Drosophila melanogaster: one gene and its partners. The protein of the gene in region 4 interacts with the protein of the main gene of each other region in a pairwise test. Each region holds a gene or a part of one and is shown on either strand. Other genes may lie near its edges.

What was found.
Region 1: the proteins of CG30160 (region 4) and CG14252 interact in a two-hybrid assay, tested with the Drosophila melanogaster proteins (one large-scale study listed by BioGRID).
Region 2: the proteins of CG30160 (region 4) and CG10344 interact in a two-hybrid assay, tested with the Drosophila melanogaster proteins (one large-scale study listed by BioGRID).
Region 3: the proteins of CG30160 (region 4) and Naa20A interact in a two-hybrid assay, tested with the Drosophila melanogaster proteins (one large-scale study listed by BioGRID).

Annotation. Positions count from the first base shown.
Region 1 is NT_033777.3:26,942,808-26,948,958, reverse strand, and holds CG14252 (uncharacterized protein), read right to left. Parts: upstream 3,426-6,151; 5' UTR 3,380-3,425; coding exon 3,379-3,379; intron 3,194-3,378; coding exon 2,995-3,193; intron 2,941-2,994; coding exon 2,804-2,940; intron 2,743-2,803; coding exon 2,689-2,742; intron 2,629-2,688; coding exon 2,313-2,628; intron 2,259-2,312; coding exon 1,748-2,258; 3' UTR 1,711-1,747; downstream 1-1,710. Other genes in the region: Spag1 axonemal dynein assembly factor, read right to left, coding at 1-48, 108-235, 292-710, 771-1,043; CG46339 (uncharacterized protein), read right to left, coding at 4,436-4,691, 4,759-4,902, 4,965-5,132, 5,197-5,387, 5,450-5,573, 5,636-6,151.
Region 2 is NT_033778.4:22,425,233-22,430,879, forward strand, and holds CG10344 (uncharacterized protein), read right to left. Parts: upstream 1,746-5,647; 5' UTR 1,682-1,745; coding exon 1,450-1,681; intron 1,395-1,449; coding exon 790-1,394; 3' UTR 750-789; coding exon of another isoform or gene 570-749; 3' UTR 512-569; downstream 1-511. Other genes in the region: rad50, read left to right, coding at 1-225; CG46442 (uncharacterized protein), read left to right, coding at 344-511, 570-749; ppk12 (pickpocket 12), read left to right, coding at 2,247-2,398, 2,458-2,658, 2,723-3,004, 3,056-3,171, 3,225-3,313, 3,366-3,951, 4,069-4,352.
Region 3 is NC_004354.4:19,620,173-19,626,586, forward strand, and holds Naa20A (N(alpha)-acetyltransferase 20 A), read right to left. Parts: upstream 2,903-6,414; 5' UTR 2,794-2,902; coding exon 2,741-2,793; intron 2,673-2,740; coding exon 2,557-2,672; intron 2,495-2,556; coding exon 2,365-2,494; intron 2,300-2,364; coding exon 2,163-2,299; intron 2,093-2,162; coding exon 2,031-2,092; coding exon of another isoform or gene 2,001-2,030; exon of another isoform or gene 1,596-2,000; intron 1,493-1,595; exon of another isoform or gene 1,479-1,492; coding exon 1,434-1,478; 3' UTR 1,279-1,433; downstream 1-1,278. Other genes in the region: CG14221 (uncharacterized protein), read right to left, coding at 1-461, 540-611, 682-785, 856-946; MKP-4 (MAPK phosphatase 4), read left to right, coding at 3,038-3,182, 3,245-3,376, 3,443-3,542, 3,608-4,290, 4,356-4,459; CG14212 (uncharacterized protein), read left to right, coding at 5,566-6,354.
Region 4 is NT_033778.4:7,002,544-7,008,284, reverse strand, and holds CG30160 (uncharacterized protein), read right to left. Parts: upstream 3,129-5,741; 5' UTR 3,068-3,128; coding exon 2,816-3,067; intron 2,752-2,815; coding exon 2,587-2,751; intron 2,515-2,586; coding exon 2,263-2,514; 3' UTR 2,149-2,262; downstream 1-2,148. Other genes in the region: Tsp42Ec (tetraspanin 42Ec), read right to left, coding at 1-304, 368-559, 1,653-1,712; Tsp42Ea (tetraspanin 42Ea), read right to left, coding at 4,309-4,380, 4,643-4,837, 4,904-5,065, 5,129-5,320.

The DNA of each region.
Region 1 (6,151 bases), on a different chromosome or scaffold from region 4:
AGGCTTGGCAGTCCGATATGGCCGAAAAGTATTTCTTCAACTTGAGATCTGCGAATGAATCGAACAATAAATTGATAAAGAGTTTTATTATTAATATGATTACTTACGAGCGACAGCGCGATTATTGTAAGCGTGTACTGCATTCTCCGGATCGTATATTATTGAACAGTTGTACTCCTCAATGGCATTTTCATATTCCTTTGCCTTGAAGCTCTCATTGCCACGCAGTCGATGTCTTTAACAACAACAAAAATATATAAAACATATAATAAAGCATTAAGATATATCTACCTTTCAGCAAATTGCTCCTTCTCCAGCTGGCTTAGGTTCTTTAGCTGTGCTTGGAGGCGTTCATATAGAGAATCTCTTTCGCTCTGTAGCTTATCCGTGGTAACCGATTTACTGTGATTGGAAATGATTTTCTCTCTTTGCTCCTGGTCGCGTTCCTCGTTCAAATCCATGCGCAGTATCTCCTCATCGGGATCGTACTTATCCCATTTTCTGTAATCGGTGGATTTGATTCGAGCCTCCTTATTCTTGGTATTGGACGGAGATGTAGCCTTTGGCGCTGGCTTGGGTTTTTCAGTTTTACTTTCCTTCTCCAAATCGATTTTCGAAAGTTTACGCACAGATGGAAGATTCAAATTCTGCTTAACTTTCTTCAGCTCATTGAGAGCATTGTCCTTTGTTTTTATGGCGTCAGTCCAATCCTAAGGTATAAATACAGGTTAATCCATAAATATTTATTTGAAATGAAGTAGACAACCTACCAGAATGGGCTTTAGTTCGGTTTTGTCCAGGTCAGTGCTTTGCTTTATCTGTTCCTCATAGCGAAATAGCTTGCTATCCGGTTTCAGTGCCTTCAGTTTTTCCTCCGCACAGCGTTGCAAGTCCGGATAATGTCCTTCCTCGCCGGAGCGCAGGATTTGGACGATTTTCTCCATTTCGCGAGCATTTGTGCACTTTTCCACGTGGGCGAAGTCCAAATAGTGAATTGGTATGTTGTATCTTTCCAAAAGAGATTTCTTTTTTTCCTTTTCCATTTTTCGGCTTTACAATATCAAATAAATAAAGGAGCAGCTCGATGTTTTAATTCAATATTGTGTATATCGATCAAACAAACTTTTACCGGCTTGCTTGGCAACAAACATCTGTGCTCATTCGATACCCTTAAAATGCCAATGTAAGTTTAAGGTTTAGCTTGTTTTAAAAATGTTCTAAATACTTAACTGAACGTATTGAACCAAATTAAAACACTCTATTTTGAATCAACTATCGTTTCCTTATCTTCAACCCCCTTCTTGACACACCAAAGAACCAAAGATAAGTGTGCCCGCAGCACAAAAGTGTCATTTAGCAGCGTGGCTCGTATCAAGGTTCTATGGTGTAATGGTTAGCACTCTGGACTTTGAATCCAGCGATCCGAGTTCAAATCTCGGTAGAACCTGCTCGAATTAATTTTTATTTTTTTTTTTCATATAAAGATTTGATGCTTAGAAACTTTTCTTTAAAAATAAATATCACGGATAAATGTTTATTTAAAATTTTAGTGTCCAAAATAGGATAATTGTTTCGTGTTATCTGGCGGCAGTAAATGTTTTGTTTTGCGCCAGGCTGCCAACGCGGTTCTATGGTGTAATGGTTAGCACTCTGGACTTTGAATCCAGCGATCCGAGTTCAAATCTCGGTAGAACCTTTGATTTTTTTTTTAATTTCAAGTACGAAAAAAGATACGTTTAATTGGTCACTATGCTTTTTTATTTACTTCATTCTGTTTCTTCTGCAAGACACATATGATATTGTATATTTGGCGTTTTGCTTCGATTAGCAAATCATCATTCAAGACGGCTAGCTCTTTTGTTACAAATTGACTAAATTCTTCAGCAGCCTTATGCTTTTCAATGGAGGGAGATTCGAACGGCTTTGTCGATTCATCTTGGTCCAACACTTCAATAGACACCTTGCAGTGGCTAGGTTCAGTATCAGACCAAAAACAGTCTTCACTGCACGCGGGAGAGCTCGGCTGAGTTTTATTGTCAAACTGATTGACAACGGAATCGCTAGAGCTCGGTGGATGGCTGATAGGATCGGGATCCGGTTTCGGCTCCAATTCTTTGAACCAGGACGCATCGTCTTCGTAGCTGCTACTGTGCTCGGAAAATACATCCAGCTTGGTGAAATCAATAGGAGTCTGGATCTTTAAAATCTTCGAATAATGAATCCACTCGGACTTATCTCCCACCGAATCTCGCTGTGCTCTGCAATTATTGGTAATGTATTATAACAGCATAATAAGCTTATAAAGTTCTTACCTAAACGTGCGCATAAGTGATTCAATTTTGGATTTGATATCGCCCGGTAATATGCCAACACCACGCAGCTGCAGTTCATTATGCATATCCTTGTAGACATCCATTTTTTTCCTATCACTCTGTATGTGACTGGCGAACTTTTCCCACACATCAACGAATATGCATTCCTCCGCCGGCTGCCAAACTCTTCGCGCCTTTACTCTGACATTGCTGGTTTTGCCGAATCTTTTCCTAACTCTTTTGGCGTTGGGCATTTCCTCATCGTCAAAATAGTTCACAGCACTTTCATCCACGAAGACGGTTTTGAATGGTGTCTCTATAAAGAAATGAAAACCGCTTAGAATGTATACAATTTAAACTTTTATGAATTTCGAACCATATTTGATACGTTGTGCGGGATTGTTCATATAAACAGAAGAGCGCGTTTTATCTGAAATTTCGAAGTCTTTGATTAGATACATTTTCCTTGTTGGAATTCAATGGACTCTTACGAGGCGTCTTTGATGGCTGCGTATAGTCCTTCCATTCCGAATCCTTCCCCTCGTTGGCAGATGCTCTCACCACCAAAGCCATCGCATCGAAGTGCCTCCAGGTGATAGCTTGGTCTTCCTGGTCGGAGTGTAACAAACTGAAATCCCAGAGATTATCAAACCGATTCTTCATCTGAAAGTTGTGTACTGACTTGAAATACTTCCGCTTCAGGGATTCCATTTTCGACTTTATGCCTTGAACATTGATCTCTACGCCAACATCTCGAAAATAGGGCTCCAGTTCCGCATAGGTTTCTGTCAGTTTCTTGCCAGGCTCAAACAGATGCAAGTTGTGGATCCAGATGTCGATGAATCTGTCCTCTTCGGAAGCGTCCCATTTCCTTCTGCTCACTAGATGAAATTGCATAAAGTTTGAGTTTGAACTAGGGATTTCAAAACAAAGCCTAGTATCTCGGGTGTCAGGAAAACACCAAAGTATTCGACTGATTGATACCACAAAAGTCAAAGATGAGGTCTGCTATTTATTAGGTAACCTAATTTGTCTTATTTTGTTGCTAATTTCGTTATATACTTACTTTTTCAAATATACAAGCTGTGTTAATATTTGTTTACAAAAATTTAGTTGATAGTAAGACCGTTTTATGAAACCCAGAAAATTCTTGAAAACCAATGTTTAGGGTTGCCATCAAGTGCAATTTATTCATATATTTATAAAGTGTGACCATTCTGTTGAAAATACTGAATTTCAGGGCCGCATAAGCAGTTGATTTAATTTCTTCTTAACCGCCAAATTCAAAACTCCCAAAATAAATCAAAGTTTATAAGCAGTAATTAAAGAAGAGTTTTGAATAAAATTACGTAAATACATAGTTTATTTAAGTGTTTAGTGTAAGCTTTAAAACTTATTTACATGGTTGTGCAGCAGCAATACAAGTATTTTTGTGTTGGGCTTTACAAAATACATAATAGTTACACGCGTACATGAATAAATATATTACTTGTGTGTTGTGTGTTGTGTACTACTCTTGCTTTAGCAAACAATTTAAACCATGTACTAAGGACACTCAGTTTCATTATCTTCCCATGCTCAGTTTCCTTCCAGGACCATTAAGTCCCTTGATTGGATCGACTACAAAATAGATTTTTGGTTCACTTAGTGCTAGATTGATTCACTTAGGATCTAAAGGTGTGCGAACAACACAAAGTACTTGACAATCATAAGTATAGATATAGATATAGATAATACAGGTTTTAAACTTTAGATATTTCGTGGCAGATATTGTGTTGTGGACTTAAACTGTTGCCTGAAGTGATGAATGGGAGTTATTCGAACTATGCATTTTCCGATTGCTTTCTATTTTTTAGTAGGAACGTTGCAGAGCAATGCCGCAAAGCAAAAGAAGCGAGACTTACAAATAAATAAATATACAATTGCAAAAAGTAAATCGTTTACCTAAATTATGCTGGCTAACTTACACGTTTATATCACTTTTCGCAAATAATTCGTTTGATTAAATTAATTTGAGGCCTTTGCACGAATACAAATAATGGTAATAGTTACAATAACTAAATCGCATTTTTTGGTTGAAATCAATTTGAGTTCTCCCCCATTTCCAACTTCCATGTGTTCTCCTAAAAGATATTGATCTGGAACTCGCTGACGATCCCCTCAAGGAAGTTCTTCAGGCTGTGGTACGAGTGGCTGCGCCAATAGATGTTGTTGTTCACCTGCTCCAGCGCCAACTCGATGGCCGATTCCACGGCATGGAGTCCCAGTTTGCGGCAGGTAGCGGCCAAGTCCAGAAGCTGGTGCTTATGGTAGTCCTTGTTCATGTAGATGGTCAGCGATTTGATCATCTCGGACAGCGTGGAGAAGCCATCGCCATAGCTATGGTGCAATTGAACATAACTAAATTAATATATACATTCAACCTATCACACAAAGTATCACTTACTATTCGACAATCTCCTTTATGTTGCCCTGCAGAAAATCAAAGGCTATCTCATGACCAATGGCATTGGAGGCCACAGCACGGAAGGCCAAGGCGCCATCCTGTTTTAGTATGCCCGATGTTGGATTGATGGTCATGTTGAGGTACCTACAAAGTTGTTGCACATCAGTCTTTGGTCTTTGATGGATCAAACTGTTGTAGTTACTCACTTGGACAGCAGCCAGGGTTTGGTGGTGCAGCCCAGTGAGGTCAGTATCTCCTCCTTCTCGGAAGCACTCGTGGTTGTCTTGTACTGTTTGTAGGCGAAATACCATTCCGGTGACGAGCCCTCCGCCAAGGAGGTGCAGTAGATCACAGACTTGAGGTTTGGCTTAATGCTGTTGATTTATGATTGCATCGTTTTTAATAAGTTTTTGTATTGTATTTCAGTTACAAGCTTACGGATTGTTTTTGGGATCACGCATCCACTCGCGGAACTTCATCTGCGCCTTTTGGGTGCAGCGATCGTAGTTGAACTTGCAGGCAAAGTAGGCCACCAAGGCGCGGTGCTTCAGTTGCAAGTGGGACTCATTGTCCGGCTCATGCAGGCCATAATGATCAAAGGCGGGACGTACGATGAATTTCATGAAGGCCTGGTTAAACAAAATATATTATAAAACACTCTAAAATTTACTAGTTTTACTGGATTCCCTACCCTGAAAGTCTCATAGGCAGGCTCCCTCTTCAGGTTGTAGATCAGATAGTTGAGACCAGGTTTGGCGGCAATCCACAGCAGCTCATCATCCACAGCATCGAACAGCTCCATGAGGAAGGTCAATCTAAAGGCAAACGTATTTTTATGTTAATAATTTCATTTACTTGTCTTACTTCTCAAACTTACGGTATGTCGTAGGTAAGGTATTCCGCTTGCGACAGATGCAGTGCATCATCCAGCAACTGGGCCCTTGTGATCCTGGGCAATGTGCTAAAGTTCTTCTTGAGCGCCAGCCAAGAGGTCATATCGTAGTTGACACGATAGTAACCCTGCCGGTTGAGATTCAGATAGATCACGTTATCGCTGTTGCTGCTATGCGCGAAGACATTGCCCACGATGAGCTCCTCTTCGTCCTCGCTTCTCATCCAGTGGGTGGGTATGTTGTCGCCCTTGCGCAACTCATCCGTCTCGAAGGTGATGGGTATAAACCAGGTGCTCTGATCCGCAGTGTTCTTGGAGGGCAGCAGATAGCGTTCCTGGCGCAGCACGAGATCAGCACCACGGCGCTCCACATTGACTACCGGATAACCGGGCTGGGTGATCCACGAGTCCATGATCTGCTTGACACTCAGATCCTTGGGCAGAGTACCCTGTTCGTGACCATGGCGCGTGAGCATGGCCCACAGATCATCTCTGTCCATG
Region 2 (5,647 bases), about 15 Mb from region 4:
GATCGCGCCAATATAAACTCGCTATGTGAAGCCCTGAATTGCATCGTGGAGGAGCGCCAAAGCCAGTCCAACTTTATGCTCATCATCATCACTCACGACGAGAATTTCGTTTCGTCTCTGGGCAAGATAACCTCCTACCATCGGGTCTTCCGCAACGAGGAGTGCAAGTCGGTTATACGGAGAGTGGAGGCGGGTCCATCAAAGAAAGCTTTGATAGATCAATAAAAAATATTATTTTTGTTATCAATCTATGTTTGCTTGTCTAGTCATCAAATCAGTTATAGACGGGGACAATTGGCCGCGCAGGTGTGGTAACAAAGAATGATGGGTTTAGTTTTTAGAAATGGCCAATACGTGTGGTCTGTTGCTGCTGGCAATACTTGCTTATGCAGAAGTTGCATGCCACTCCGTACAATTTGGCATGCTGCACTTTCTAGCTGTTCCCATATATGAGACTGAAATATTCACCACTGAATTTGTGGATTTCGTAGACGTGAAGTACACACAAAAGGTATTTTAAATATATTACTTTAAATAAAGTGGAAGATCTCTTAGGTATTTTTGTACAGGGTAGCATGTGCTTTCATATAAACATGATATTGGTCATCGATGAAAGTGAAATGGAATGGAAAGGCCAGGCGTCCGTTCTGTCCGGCGGTATTGGTTACAACTTCACTATCTTAAGACTAACATTTAACCAGCCAGAGGTTGCCAAAGTCACAGTAGTCATTTACGGGATCCCCAGGTAGGAACTGCACAGCAGATATTTATCCTAGATCCTAATCAGTCTTAGTCTTGTTTGTTCGTAGGGACATTCCAGTGGTATCCGTCTTCCGGCAGATCGCTGCGAATCAGTGGGGACAGCCACGCTAAATGCATGCGGTTTCCAAAAACGCTCCTTAGATTTTGATACACTCCTCTGTCGTACTTTTCTTTGCTCTCCTTAGTGCGATCGGCGGAAACACCGCCCCTTAAAACAATGGGCACATGGTAGGCCAGGAGGAGGACTCCATAAGCCAGAGCTAAAATATTTAAGCTGTAGAAGACCAGGTACATGTTGGTCCAAAAACTGCCCGTTACCAGGTGTAACATGGGGCAGGCGAGTTTTAACACCGTCACCCAGTTGCTGTAGATGTGGCCGTGGATGACCCACATGTATATGGAGTTGTACACCAGTGCGTAAACTGATCCCACGAAGAGATAGAATATAAAGCCCATGAAGAAGCGATGGTTTCTGAGTCCAATGCAGCAGCCGGTGTAGATACAGTGGTGATCCCGCTTCAGAATGCACACTTTGCAGGCCTTGCAATGCCAAGATCTGGGTGGTGCTAGCTTCTGGCACTCGCCGCACTCACGCCAATTCAACTGATCCGATGGTGGTTCCACCTTTTTCACTGGAAATGGGATATGCATTTTATCGGATTTATTATAAGACCTGCTGCGACTTACCATTTACACTTGTGTCAATCATCATGCAGGCAATCATGTTTCCCTTGATGTTAAACACCAGGAACATGGCCATAAGAAAGGTGAAGGTGTGGAAGAAGCCACCCGGTTCATGGAAGGCAGGCAGCACCACCACAATCTCGAACATAAACACCACCGGGAGAAAGACCGCAATGATGAGGAAGCACAAGATGTCCACCATCCGGCTGGGCATTGGGTTGCTCCGGATTCTCATGATCTGTGCTACTAAGGTAAATAAATAGGCACCGATCTCCGATATGTCAGAAAGAGAACTAACTTGATAACCGGTTGCTGTAACATCACGTGCGGTTGAGCTTTATTTTATCAAGCTTTCGAGGCCAAAGCTAATGGGTCGCCGGTAAAAAGCTCGCTTTCTATGTTTTTGCGGCGAAAAGTTTGCGTTCAGTATGATTGAATGTGATTCATTGAACCCGAGTTCAATATAATTTGATAAACTCCAAAGCTAACCGAATTAAAGTTTGATATCAAGCGCGGGGTGGTGTAAAACTGCGGCCATGCACTTATACATGTTATCAAGACGGGCCACACGTCGTATGCTTGATGGCGTGTGCCATGAATACATACATATACATTTAAACGCCAACGGCAAGCCAGCATTGAGAATTTAATTAACTTGAAAGGATTCACTCCTTCGAATGCCGCCGTAATCGGGGTAAAACCTTAATTACATGCCTCTTTAATAAGTGTGCCGACACCTGATTGCTTGCGATATCAAGTATTTATGCAGGTGTCAAGGGTCATTAAGTAAACAGTTCGCTATGGAACCGTCGCCGTCAGCCGGAACGGAAAGGCAGGGATCCTCGTTATTTCTGCTGAAGAGCTTCGTCAGGAGTCTGCGGCAGTTCCTCAACCAGACTAGTCTGCATGGACTCAAGTTTGTGGGCGATTCCGGCCTGAGTAGCTGGGAGAGGTGGGAAAGGAGCACATCCAAGTGCGGATTTTGAGCTACATTTGCAAAACCCTTTTTAGATCGTTTTTCCTTGGCTCCTTTGTCACCGCCCTCATCATCACGGTGCACCTCATATCGAACATCTATGTGAAGTGGGATAGCACGCCGGTTATAATCGGCATCAGCCCACAGGCCACCTCCATTTTGAAGGTTCCTTTTCCGGCAATAACCATATGCAATATGAACCAGGTGCAGAGGAGTCTGGTAGCCAATTACAGAGAGTAAGTTCGGTTTTCCTCTAAGGCAATCGTCCATCCATCATTTTGAAATTAAATTATGTTCCAGGGGCTCCAATGAAAGTGCCCTTCTGAAGCTATTATGTGAATCGGATAGCTGGGAATCCAGTGAGGCTGATGAGGAGTTCTCCGCTTCGAATTTTGTCACGAACAACCTGAAGATATCCGAATTTGTTTCAAATCACTCGCAGTCCTGCGAGAGAATGTTGCTTTTTTGTAGATTCAGTGCCGTGGAGCGAAACTGTTCGCAACTGTTTCAGCAGATCCTGACGGATGAGGGCCTGTGTTGCGTCTTCAATTTTCAACCACCGGAATATCTCTACAAGCCATTGTAACTAGATGGGTTCATTAAATTAAAATAATTGATTTATTGTTTTGACAGTGCAAATAACAACCGGAACTTGACGAACTCTGATGGGTTTGAAAGTGTTATGTGGGATCCGGAGTCAGGATATCCGGAACAATTGCCCCCCAAGTTCTATCCAGCCACCGCTAGTGGTAAAATATCAGAGAATCGTTAATGAATAGAGTATTTCAAATATGTACTATAGGCACTGGTATCACCTTGGGATTTACTGCCGTACTTGATGCTGAGATGGGCGAATACTATTGCTCTTCGACCAATGGACCTGGTTTTAAAGTAAGCCTTTAATATACATACTGCCTTTACCCATCATACCCGCCATTTCCAGGTTTACTTTCACAATCCCATCGAAGTTCCCAAGGTGAAGGAGGCGGGCCTCATCTCAGCCATTGGCTACGAAACCAACTATCGAATTGAGATGGTTCGTGCCGAGGCGGTTCCGGCCATTCGATCTATATCCCGCGATGGCCGGCAGTGCCTGTTCAAGAACGAGAAGGAGCTGATCTTTTATCGTATCTATACGCGACTCAACTGCGAGAACGAGTGCCTGGCCGCATTCCTCTACGACACCTGCTCCTGCATTCCGTTCGACCATCCGCTCATCTACAGCAACGCCAGCATCTGCTCCATGGGGGACACGTCCTGTGTGCGACGGGCACAGAGGGCGTCCAATCGACCTGGTTGGGCCAAGTGCCGCCAGCAGTGCCTGCCCAGTTGCTTCGATCTCAACTACTTGGCCAGTGGCTTCTCCTTCCCGCTGGCCTCCAACAACTTCCAGCTGGCCAACGCGCTGGTGGAGAGCTTCAACAAGTCCTATCTCAGCAAGAATATTGCCGTGATAAACGTTTATTTCCGGGAGTCGGTCTACTATGGAAACACCAAGAATGCATACGTGGGATTGACAGAGTTCTTGTGTGAGTAAATACTATTTTCAAGTTACAGGAACATAGGGATCTGTTAAATTAGTCATTAGCTCAATGGGCTCAATTTATTCAATCCATTAGATTTAGTGACTAGTTCTATCATTTCAGCAAACGTCGGTGGTGTAATGGGTCTGTTCATGGGCTTTAGTGTCATCTCCCTGGCCGAGATCCTATACTTCTTGATCTTAAAACCACTCGCTGAGCTTTTCGTTTGGAAGAGGTCATCTCATGTGGACTCAGAGAAGAGCCTCAAACACAATGCCTTCGGTATTGAAAAAGGACAATCTTCAGACAACCCCAGTTTCTGGCACTCAAAAGAGCTGTATCCCAAAGGTGTTTCAATAAGTGCCTACGAAAATGCTAAAAGTACGAAAGGATTAAATTACCAATAAATTACAACACACGAGAAATTATGTGTATGTAATCCGGAGTAGGAAAACAAATGTAATCTGTCAATGCCAGTAATGAAATAAAAGAGAAAAACATTATGACTGGAAGCTAGTTTATGGTTTTCAATTTCATTTTATCAGCAACAAAGGCCGGAATAATTGATTTAAATCGGAACTAAAAGCGATTTATATTTAAGTACTGCATTTGGAACAAAACATTCTCAATCATTTGTTAGCAGATTAATTTAAAGTGAGAAATAAACAATTAATATCCTGCAGGATGTTCAATAATTACCTTTTATTGAACTAAACATAACTTTCTTGAAAGTAAGTTACAGCGCGGTGTTAAAGACTCGATTCAATTCCAAACTGAACTTTTTGACTCGGTTAAACAGTCTTAAAGTGGAAAGTTTGATATGCACATGAGCATGCGAACTCCTTCACTGCCCCATCAACTTTTTCCCAAAGGAACTCCCGCAGCTGGAGCAGATGTGCCCGAGTGAAGGTCGGTAATGGAATACCCTAGCGCCTAATGCAATTAACCAAGTTTCCCGGTTATGGGGACAGCCCTTGCTTTAGTTTTTGCGTTCGTTTGTGTTAATGCCATATATTTTATGCCAATAAGAGCATTTTGGGCGAAATTACTTTTGGCCAAGGCAGCCAGTCAGTCCTAGCCTAAATGCGGGTGCGTAAGTTCTTATATGCCAGCAGTACATTGTACGTATTCCGGCAGTAAAACAAGAATAGCTTCGAACCACCCCAATCCGCCCGGCCTTCCGCATCCACATCCTCTAGAGCACTTGAAGATGGCACATTTCTGCGTCGTCTTGCACTTGGTACATCGTGCTCCGGTTTCTGAGCGTTAATTGCTGACCTCAACCTGCACATAAAGCGACTAATTTCGCACGGCCCCGGTACACAGCTCGTCCTGCATAACTGTATGAATTCTGCGGCACAGTTTTCTCTGCAGCATCCTCTGCCATCCATCATGGTCCTCCATCTGAGTGGGATGGAGGTCTTAAACAGCCGTAGGAGGAGGCCGAGTGGGAGTGGGAGGAATGGTGCCTAAGCAGCAATGGCGGCAGGAGCAAAAATGGAATGAAATGCATTCGCACAGTTGAAGACAATTTGCGAAATTGCATCGCTCTTGATGTTTTCACGTGCATTCCATCTGGTGTTTTTACGGCAAGTCAACAATGTGCTGTTGGCCAACAGTGTGCGCCATGGCCATAAGTCGTTCGATTCAGCGGATATCTCACTGGAGAATTTAATAGATTCCCCTCTTAGTCTGCTTATTC
Region 3 (6,414 bases), on a different chromosome or scaffold from region 4:
AGCTCCTTGTCGTAGAGCTGCTCGATAACCTCCGGTGACAGTGGATTCTCCGCAGCAAAGTTGACGGTGGCGATGTCGCTAGGCAGAATGGTAAATACCTTGCGGTCCTTGCACTGAATCTTGAGCGGATCAGCCGGCTCCGAGAGTTTCTTGAACATGTCGCGATTAACCTGTGGCCCGAAGACCGTGATCCCGATGTCCGGCAGGTTGGCCATGATGCAGTCGGTGACGCTGTGAAGGTACTCCAGCCGCTTCCGACGGCTCTCCGCCAGCTCGATCTCCTCGGCCAGGCGCAGCGCCTTGTTGCGCACCTCCAGCTGCTCCAGCTCGATCGGCTGGAGCTCGGTGATCTCGTAGCTCAGGTGCGTTTCCTTGGCCATCGTCGACTGCAGCATTCGGGTGATCATGGCCACCAGCTTGGGCACATCCGTGCCGAACATGATATTGATGGCCTTGCCGCTCTAATGGTCCATAAACATAAACATAGAGGAAAGACAATACATATTCACCTGGCATTATGTTCCCATGGGATCACTCACCGTGACAAACATCCACGTGGGCTCGCTCTTCTTGTTGAATCGCTTCAGATAGGATATGGAGCCCGCCTTGCACTGGCATATATTGGAAAAGATGGGGATGTTAGTGCGCTACGCCTCGGTGCTTCCGACTGTGTGATCTTACGATGGCCAACTGCAGGTTGTCGCCTCCTAGCTCGAGCTTGATCTTCCGCAGGCTACCCACCATGCCGAGGCAGGGACCGCACCATTCGGAGTATATATCGAGCACTGAAGCACTCAGGGATTAGAGCGAGATTACTGGGTGGACTAATGGCTAACCATCGCATCGAGAACGTACCCAGCAATCCGGATCGCTGCAGGAACTTCTCGAACTCCTCATCCGAGGCGAGGTCGGCCTGAAGCTGCTGGACTCCTCCCTTCTTCGCCATTTTTTGCGCACTGAATGGGCCATCAATCAGATACCGAACTAAACACCCAACCAGCTATTGATCAAACAGTGGTTGCCAGGACTTAAAAGGTCACTCAGTATTTTGGCACAATCAATCAATCAACAATCCCAGTTCCCAAATGGGGTAACAAATGCGCAGGAGCTGCTGAGTCGAGCTAGGAAGCTACCCATATAATACAGGGTATTTATTATAAACCCGAAAACTTTTCTATCCTTCTGCTAGCACTAAAAAAAAGGACATCACCACAAGGACATTATTATAAGGTGTGTTGAAAGTCAGCTTTCCTCCAATCAATCAATCAAATACAGATTGAACTTTATATGCCAGGGGGTTTATTTTCTTTTTATTCTCAAAATGGTTTTCTATGCAGCAGCACATTAGTAAATGGGAATCGGTCGATAAAGCACATGGCGATGGCGATGGCGATGGCTGTGGCTATGCCCACATCCGCCGCGAATCGTTCCACTTAGTGATCGTGTCGCATTTGTCTGCGCAGCTCGCGCATTGTGATCTGCAAAAAAAAAACTGGATATGGTCAGAGGATCGTGTGCGGGCTAGATGGGTGGTCATAGCGTTGGCGTTAGATACTGGTTGTCATTTACGATGATGAAGTAATCAAGTTGCTTACGTTATTTACCTTCAGAACTGTGGAACAATCTTTGTGTTTGTGGTTATTTACGCATCGGCTTACGAAATCTTTAAATAATTTCAAAGTCAATAGAATTATCGAGAATTTGTGCTGAATTTGGTAACGGAGCGGTCATGTAACTTAATTACAGGCTTAGTTTCGGTTGGGAAATAATGCACGCAAATACTGGCGCCGGGGGATTGGTTCGCAAGCGGGATGGGAATCCGGTCATAATCGAATCGCATGTTATCACCGGGCAGATCACGGGATTATGGGTTATTTACATTGCTAAATTAACTAGAATTCAATGGGCTGCGAAGTGATGCGCTCGCGCCCATTTCAAATGGTGGATCGGGATTAGTTAGACATAAATGCGTTTTCGGGCGCTACTGGGTTGATATCGTATCAATTCATATCTATATGTTCCAGTCGTACAGGCTGCGTGTACGGTATGACCGACTTTTTGTTGACGTCCCTGGATAAGGCCTTTCTCATGTCTGCAAAGTGGGTAAAGCATCGATTGTTAGGCGCCTCTTAGAAGTCAATGCAAATTCTGTGCGCTCTCACCGTACGCATCCTCGTCCTGGTCGCCGGAGTAGTACTCAAGTATGGTGCGGTATATGATGTAGCCAAGGTTCGTGTACATGTTTATTGCCACCTGGTTGCTCTTCCTCACAAAAAGATCCACAAAGTATGCTCGCTTTCTGGGGGCGAGAAAAAGTAGTCGTTTAGTCTGTATTGATATCCAACGAATTGGGGCTGGAATTACTTCTCCGAAATGTCCTCCAGGAAACTCATGAGCAGCGCAGCCAGACCAAGGCGCCGGTAGTCGGGCGAGACGGTCAGCGCAGTCACGTGTCCGTGCCAGTTGTCCAGGTGTCCCTCCACCTTGCCCATGACTAGAGAATGTAGAGCACACTTGATAGGGGAACTCGTGCACACAGTGAAATGCAGTACTTACTGTAGCCCATTATTTGTCCGCTGGGCGACTCCGCAAGCTGAAAGTACTCCGGCCACTTGGCCAGGTACTGGGTGTAGAAGGACAGCCCGTAGGTCTCCGTAAGTGGGTCAAAGTTTCTGGCGGAGCACACGGCGGTATTGGTATTAGCCTCGGATATGCGCATGTGGATATCCACTGTACTCACACATTGTTGAACTTAAAGAGGTCGTCGCAGGTGAAGGGTCGCAACGTGGTCATCTTATCACTTAATCTCGGCTAATCCGATCCTTTTTATTGCTCCTATAAAATTGCTATACTCGCCGGCAATAGAGATGCGCCGCGGTCGATGGCAAGTTATCGATAGCCTGGAAGCGAGCTTTCCCACAAATCGGTTACCGCGCAATGCAGCCGCGGTCACACTACTAGCACTTCCATTTCCACGCTAGGTCCTGTCCTCGCTCTTCTTCTTCCTCTGCCTCCAGCTGGTATCTGTTGCCTGGCCATGGAACAGTCTCAGTCTCAACGGCAGGCGTGGCCTTCGTCCTCCGCGGGGGGTGGCAAGGCCCAGGACTCCGGGGTGCTGACGCGCGAGGACTTCGACGGCGGACCGGTCAGCATCGACGAGGTGGACACAGGCCTGTTTCTAGGTAAGCATATAGCTCTAATCCTTGTGATCGATGCATTTCTCAACCCTTCCTTACACCACCAGGCAACCTGACCGCGGCGACGCACATGGAGACGCTGCGCTCCTTCAAGATCACCCACATCCTCACGCTGGATTCGGTCCCGCTGCCGCAGCACATTCTGGAGGCCAGCTTTCTGACCACCAAATATATACAGAGTAAGCACACAGATCGGTAGCTTCGTGAATGTGCAACAACTTCACTGGCGTTAATCCCTGTTTCAGTTGCCGACATGCCGCGCGAAGATATTCTGCAGCATCTGGAGGGCTGCGTTGACTTTATCAGCTCGGCCCTGGCCCAGCAGGGCAATGTCCTTGTGCACTGGTGAGCATCTTACCTAGGCTGACCGGCCCACGATTTGGCCACTGACTCTTTGTGCCTTCCAACAGCTACTTCGGCGTCAGTCGCAGCTCATCCACTGTGATCGCTTACATGATGAAGCGACACAATCTGGACTTCCTGCCCGCCTACGAGCTGGTCAAGGCCAAACGGCGCTTCGTCCAGCCAAACGCTGGCTTTGTCAGCCAACTAAAGCTCTTCCGGCGCATGGGCTGCAAGATTGACCCCAACTGCCAGCGCTACAAGATCCATCGCCTGCGCCTGGCTGGCGAGCAGATGCGCAAGGCCAAGATCCTGCCGCAAAGCTTCCACAGCGTGGTCCGTCCGGATCCAGATATAACGCGCGAGAACCCGGAGCCCATAGTGTTCCGCTGTCGTCGTTGCCGCCGCGTCCTCGCCTCCAAGTCGCATGTACTGGAGCACAAGCCGCGTGACAGGCCGCCGCAGGAGGTGGTACCCAAGGAGAAAGAAGAAGTCGCTGCAGCTAAGCTGCCGGCTCAGTCACATGATCAGGCCGAAAATCATCATGGTGCTCGCATGCTGGAGCAGCTGTCCGAGCGCATCCGCCAGTCATCACTCGGTTCACCCGGCCACGAAAGCACGCCAAACTATTGCCGCAGCATACTGTTTGTGGAGCCCATCGCCTGGATGCACCGCATCATGCTGAACACCCAGGGCCGCCTGTACTGTCCCAAGTGCGAGCAGAAATTGGGAAACTTTAGCTGGATCAACGGTTGGCTATGCTGCTCCACCAGCCGATAATCCCGCCCCCCACTCATTCCTCCTAATTTATTGCAGCCTGCAAGTGTCCGTGCGGGGAGACGATGACGCCTGCATTTTATCTGATACCTTCCAAGGTGGAGCTCTCGAAGGCCGTGCAGAACGTGCAGACCACGGTTTAGGTGCAGCGTGCTGGAAATAGAGCGAGATGGCATCATCAGAGACGGGACAATTGGACTCCCTTGTCGGCTGGCAAAGAACGGCAATCGCCCACCTAAACAAAAAGCAATGGAGGCTTGGATTGATTGATCAGTGCTTATCAGTGCTGGCCAACATTGATGTCCTACATATATACATATATGGGCATTAAGTTATGTTTCTATGGGTCATTGGAGAAGTTGGGCTTCGGTTACGCTGTTGAAACATAAGTTAATTGGTCCCATTGCTGAATAGCTCCTCCACCAAGCTGAGATTTTTGAAACGCAAGCAGTTAGCTTAGTTAGTTCCCTCTTGGGAATCCGATCTCGTATCGGATATAAACTGATTGCCAGGTTTACAATATCAAAACTTCCGCGCGAAGCAAACGTAATTTAATCACAAACTAACTTCGGATTCCATTTGGTCAGTCAGTAAATATTTACTCAATTCTTAAGAATAAGAAATAATCACAGAGTATCTCATCCGATCGCAACATTGATATGTGAATCCCCAAAAGCTGAAAGAGATACGTTGATTGTTTCCAGTAGTGGTATATGGTATATTGTTTCATTTTATATAGTTAGCCAATGAATTCGCCCATGTAGCTAAATTATACACTTACTTATGTACGTGCGATATAGTGCACCCATATTTGTTGGAAGCCATACAAGTATGTATATTGATCTTTGCTGTTCCATATGCATTTGCATAGCTTTTTGCATGTTACCAACACACACACACACACACAAACTATGAATGTATTTTAGATATTTAAACCTTTTTGGAAAATATTTTATGCAACGGAAAACGAAACAACATTTTTCAATGACAATATCTAAAACTTATGCGATATACATACATATAATACACACATTATATTATAATTACAACATTGTCGGCCAAACGGACACGTCGGTCGCATGGTCGATGGAACGAAGATCCCCCCCAGCTTCCATGGGACTTCGTGCACCTTCGGATATTGGCGCTACCTTATCGATATTGATGTGCTTTGTTCACCCATATCTACTGTACTGTTTAAACGAGTGTGTGCATTGATATTAAAGTCAAATTGTTTGTTTTCCACACCAAAATGTTTGCAATTTCGAGAAGCCTCCGGTTGAGCCGTTGCCTTTCGCCCTTCGGACGCGGTCTGAGCGCATCCAGTTCGCCTGGACCGCGCACCCTAGTCGCCATCGACTTCGACAGGACCATCGTTGAGCAGGACTCCTATTTGGCGGTGAGCCAACTACTGCCGACCAGTCAGCGCAAGGAGCTGCAGGACCAGATCCCCAAGTGCGGCTGGCTGAGCTTCATAAGCCAAGTGTTGCAGCGCCTGCATGGCGAGCACAAGGTGAACTCCGCGTCGGTGGGCAAGCGTGTGCGCAGTCTCACAGCCGTGCCTGGAATGCTGCGGGTGATGCGCCAATTAGCCAGGATCCCTGAGCTCGAACTGTGCATCGTCAGCGACGCCAACTCCTTCTTCATCGGCGAGTGGCTGCAGGCGTACGCCATTGAGTGCCTCTTTGCCGGCGGCGTGTTCACCAATCCCGCATGCGTCCAAGCGAGCGGCGAACTGCTGGTGCTGCCCTACCAAGAGCAGACTGACTGCGATCTCTGCCCCTCCAACATGTGCAAGGGCTCCGTGATGGACGAGCTGACGTGCAGCGGGCGATACGAGCGCTTGATCTATGTGGGCGATAGTTGCAACGATCTGTGCGCCATTAAGCGGCTGCGGCAAAAGGATGTCGCCTGCATCCGGCGCGGATTCGAGCTGCACGGTAAGATGACCGCCCATGGCCAGGAACTGGCCTGCTCCGTGCTCACATGGCGCGACGGCCACGAGCTGGAGGAGCTCCTGATGCCCAAAATCGTGGCGTAGAGTTTGTGGTAAGGCCAGGTTATTAATGCTGCTGTTTTATTCGACTTAAAAATAAATCTT
Region 4 (5,741 bases):
CGAACTTGGCGCTGCAGCCGGGCCTCGACTGGTAGACCGAGGGGGTGTTGCATGTGGCCTGGCGGTCCAGGTAGCCGCAGCAGGTTCCGGGAACCGAAAGGCCGATGTTGTTGTAGTTGGTATAGCTCGTATCACCGCAGCAGCCGAAGGTTTCCTCAAGAACGCCCATGGCAGTGTAGTCATGGGAGTCCCAGAGCAAGTTAACCAGATTGGACATATCGCCCAGGAAGGCAGATCGGTTCACGAACACCCAGCACGTAAGCACCAGTTGCAGGATAAAGAGCACAAAAACCATGCTGGTGTACTGCAAAGCATTCAACTTCAATTAGCTCGAATTCCTTGGGATATGCTCTTCACGCAAACTTACCGCGCCGGTCATGCAGACACTCTGCCGAAAAATGCCGTAGCACCCGAAGAAGGACACCACGAAGATGAGGCCTCCCAGGACGGTGACGCAGATGGGGATGGTGTTCGGGTCCGTCCCACTCCCCGCGACATCGAAGCGGCTCAGATCGGACAGCATGATCGAGCCCAACACGATCAGTAGGATGCCAACGATCTGGAAGTATTCGGAGTATTACTAGAAGGCATCTCTGGTTGCCTAACAGTTTTATGGTCATAAGCATACCACATTATAATGAATGTTTTATGGACTTCTAATTATCCGGGAATATCTATGTACTGAAAACTTGTCCGCAAACTGGACTAAGATATGAGCTTTTAAAATAGCCTTCAGGATGTCGGTGACCAAGATTTACTTAAATTTCTTCATTTGATTCTTTAAGTTGACAAAGTGATTAACAAAGTGAATAATCAAGTCTTATACTTGCATACAAATTAATGAAATTCACAATCAGACGGATATGGCTAGTTTAAAAACGTAGCTGATAAAAAAAACAAACGTTAATCACCTTTATCTTGTTTTTGGCATAATTCTTAAGGTGAAAAATGTATCTTTTAGCTGCGTTAATACTGCGAGTAACTACACATTTATTTGGATAAATAATAAATCATTTGTAAATAATAGTTTGTTGTATTTCCTTAGTTTATTCTCTAAATGATCTTTTATTCACTCCAACTTAGCCTTGCTAAAATGTGAACTTGTGTGCATGTGTGCCCCCTTTGAAGCTCATTTTGGGCTCATTACTTATATTACAAAACACTGATAATGTCAATCAACTGATAAAATTCTGTATGTCCGTCCACACTTGCATTACAGATAGATATTATTATCTATGCCAGCACATTTATATGAATAATAGTGTTAAACCTTGTGACTCAAAGACAATCGAAAGGAAGCGACCGATGCGTAATTTATGGATTTTCAAATTTCATTTCACTTGTTTTAAATAATACATGTTCGATATTTGTTGCACAAATATTTATTGCATATGACTTGATTAATGAATGACAGAAGTCAGCTAGAAGGTCTTATATGCAAATAAATAAACATCTACAGTTTGATAAATAAATTAACATAATTAATGGACATTTTTTGGAAGTTCATTATAACACAAGTAATTGGAGAGTATGAAGTTATCCATAATTGGAACCTATTTGGGATCTGCACCCAGTAGTGTTTGGTCTATTGTTACACGTCTCATTACATTATTAATTCCTTTTACTTAGATACTCAACCGACAAGCACTTACCAAAAACACGATATTGACAATATATAAAATAAAGTTGACTATTCCCGATAGACAACCCATTTTGAAAGTATATAGTTTGCTCCTGTATTTAGTAGAATTAAATAAACACTATTGTTTTATCCAAAGGAGTTGTCGGTGTCTCTGATTTTATCGCGCACTCGCGTCGTTTACTGTCGTTCGATTGGACTGCTCCTCCAGATGGGCTACTGTTTTTAAATTGGCCAACAGACACGGGCGCTATCGGAGGAAAGATACGCAAGTGCCTGTTATCATAATCATGGCCGAAACGAAAAATAGATAATGGGCACTGGGCGGCGGGCGGAGATCGATAGCCATTGCCATATGGAGGTGATTCACCACTACTGAGGGCATTCGATCTCGGAAACGCGGCACTCGGCTAACAGGCCGATAAGGACATACTTTTTGGAAAAACATCAACCTGTCTTGATTAGATAGACGGCAGCCAGAGGTAGACAGCGAATAAGCAATAATATTTCATTGGGCTTAACCTATTCTGGTTTATTTACGGTGAGTGAGTGAGTGAGGAATTCGTGTGTTGGATTTATGCTATGAACTGGGCTACGTCTAAGGATTGTATCTGACTTCGGCTCTAGCGCTTCCTCATCGCGCTGGCCAGGCAGCACGACATGATGAAGATGCCCAGCTCGAAGAGGGCGATGATCAGACTGCTCCATCGAATCAGGTCCGTATTGGAGGCCCAGAAATCGACGAACTCCTGCCGGCAGCCAGGTCGCTGGCTGTAGATCTCCGCTTCGCACACCTTGGTGCGATCCTTGTAGCCGCAGCAGGAGCTGGGCACGGTTTCATACTGTTGGTATCCCGTGTTGCCACAGCAAGAGAACTGCAATGGAATAGATACGTAAATATCCGGAAAAAACTAATGACATCTGATGGTGAATTTCGATAAACTTACGGCCAACTGGAGGGCATCCATGGGGTATCCCTGGGCGGCATTGTTCTCATCCCACGCCTTGTCCACTGCCTTGCCCATGCTGGACAGGAACTTGTCGTTGGCCGCGAAGATCCAGATGGAGAGGGCCAGTTGCAGGCCGAACAGAATCAGCATGCAGATGGCGTACTGAAAGGAATGCCAAGTCATTTAGAATCCAATTTCGGTCAGTGGGTGATTTCCGAGTGCTTACGATGGTGGTGCAGCAGGCGTTCTCGCGAATGGTGCCGCAGCATCCGAAGAAGGCCACTACGAAGGTGACACTTCCGATGACGATAATGCAGATCGGGATGGTCTGGGTGTTAACGCCTCCGTCGAAGGCCGTAAAGTTGCCCATCGTGGAGAGCATGATGGAGCCCACCACAATGAGCAGGATGCCACCGGCCACGAACACCAGGTTGAGCAAGTACAGCAGGTACTTGAACATCGCGGATAGACAGTTCATGGTGCTGGGTTCTGTTCGGGTTTCTCGTTGGCTAGCTGGATAATCCGTTCGTTCGATGTGACGATGTTCGTCTAACTGAATGGGCCCTCGGACAGAACGCGGCTATTAAAGCTTACTCGGAGTCCTCATCTTATCGGCTGCGCTCTTATCTCGGCCATAAAATTCCGTATGTACTTGTGCTGGAAGCTCCGATGCCCATGTACTTGTACTTGGTGAATCGCTTTGCACCCACGAGATACCAGATCATTGTGGTGGTCCGAACCTGGGAAATTACATCCTTGGCGCAATGATTCATTCAACGAATGGTAGGTGCAAACTGCTGGTGGCGGAATTTTATCTAGCCCTCGTGCGATTCCATCTTGGGGGCGTTAGATCGTTCATAAGATGAATCATTCACACCCTCCACACCTTGCCTTATCACCAGTCAAGAGTACGCGGTGCACGCTGACTCACATATTACGTTGCTTGGAGTCCGTTTCCCCGTGAGTCCCCGATCTTATCGCCTAGATTTATGTACTATCAATCGAGCAATAAACCTTTTAGCGAGTGCACTCCCAGCCTAACTTCAACAAGATTTTGGCAACTATTGGGGTTTCCACGGCGGAATAATTTCCCATTGACATTCACAAAACGGCTATGTGCCCTTCATAGATAAAATAGCTCAATGGAGATAAGATTTCGTCTGAGCCCTAAAAAGCTAACTAACTAAATATAGTCTTCTGATAGGTTAGTTCTACGGAAATATGTCAATAGAGCCAATGATTGATAATGATCTGTAATCAAAGTGTACTTGTTGGTTTCGGCCAACTCTATTTATACTTATTACTTTGCAGATTAAAACGTTATCGCGAATGGCCGAAATCCTCCCGTGGCAATTTAGAAAAATAGGTGCTTTAGGGATTAAGTCGAATTGCAAACAATGTAAGCTTTCCCATTAAGACAAAGACTGAACTCTTTTCGTAAATTGTAAATAAATTTCTCCGTTTATTGCAATCTCCAGGAGTATAAGTTATTTTGTACAGTTAAACATATTAGCACATTCAGTGTAACTTTGAACAAACGATCTTACAAAAGTGATCGTTACGCATTCGTCATTGGATTTGCTGCATTTGCTGCTTACGCTTGAGATTATGCAAATTTGAATGGCCATCTGTATCAGGTAAATATTCGTAAAATTGGGCAACATAATTCGTACTTTCGGTTTCAATTAAAATTAGTGCAAGGCCTTAGTCCTTTGTCGATTAATATTCCGCACGGCGTCTATAGTTCCGAATGCTGTTCGCCAAGCAACAGGCGAAAACGAATCCCACAAACTGAAAGCAAACAGAGTATGGTATATTGGAAGATATACATGTAGGTGTAAATCTCATAACGCTTATGGTAAAATAACAAACTAAACTGCATTGCTACGAATTATGATTTACATTACTTAGTACTTTTTGGTTATCCCCAAGAAATCACAATGGAAGGTAGGTAACATGAACCCATCCATCATATTTTCGAAATTCACATGGGGAAGCACCTAGATTCGATGATCGATTTCGTTCGATTGCGTTACTCTGGACAATAACTTACTTCGATGGCGGCGATGACCAGACCGGCATACTTGATGATGTCGCTGTTCCTGTCCCAGAACTCAACGAAGGTGACCTTGCATCCCCGCCGGTAGACGGTCTCCCAGCGGCAGTTGTTGGTGTCGCTGCAGCAGGAGGGAGGGAACTTGCCCTGGTAGGCGTAGTCGGTGTAGCCACTGCGTCCGCAGCATTTCATCTGCGGGAGCGGCAGAAAGTCAGTTGAAGGCGGGTCACATGTCCTTGGAAGTCCCTAAATACTTACGCTGATCTGAATCGCGTCCATGTAGTCGGAACGACTGGTGCGATGGTTCCAGGCCTTCTCGACCACGTCGCCCATGATCTCCAGGTACTTGTCCTTCTGCACCCACATGTAGATCACCAAAGCCAGTTGGCCAATCATCAGGACGAACAGCAAGATCGAGTACTGCCACAAAGAATACATTTTGAATTGCAAGATGAATGGCACGATGCAGGATCAGTACTCTACCGTCATGGACATGCAGTAGGATTCCCGAATGGCTCCGCAGCAGCCGAACCAGGAAATCAGCAGGATGATGGTGCCCAGGATGATCATCGTTACGGGCACCTGCTGGGTTCGCAGGGCTTCCGCGAAGTCATCCATGTTACGGACTTTGCTGAACAGCAGAGCTCCGAATACGATCAGCAATATGCCGCATATCTGAGGAAGGGAAATGTTGAGTTTATCAATCCTGAGCCAACCAGGGTTGTCTAATCTAACTAAACTTGAATTCTCAAGCCCTCAGATTTTGACAGAAATTGGTCAAAAACAATCACTTCATATCCGTTTTATATTGGACTTACTAATCATGTAATAAATTAATACAGTTCTAAGTTATTTATGATTTAATTTGATCAAATGATTTGACAAGATTTGCGATACCAAATCGCCTGAAGAATATTCATCCATATAAATGCTGGCTGGGATATCATTAGCTTTTTTGTTTCATTAAAAAGCTTGTAGGCGTTAAAAGCTCATGCCTGTTGTTCGACAAATAATATGCACTGCGAGAAACTGGAACTACTTCCAGGGACATGCATTTCAATATTTGCGATATGGCGAAATCACCTGCTTTATTATT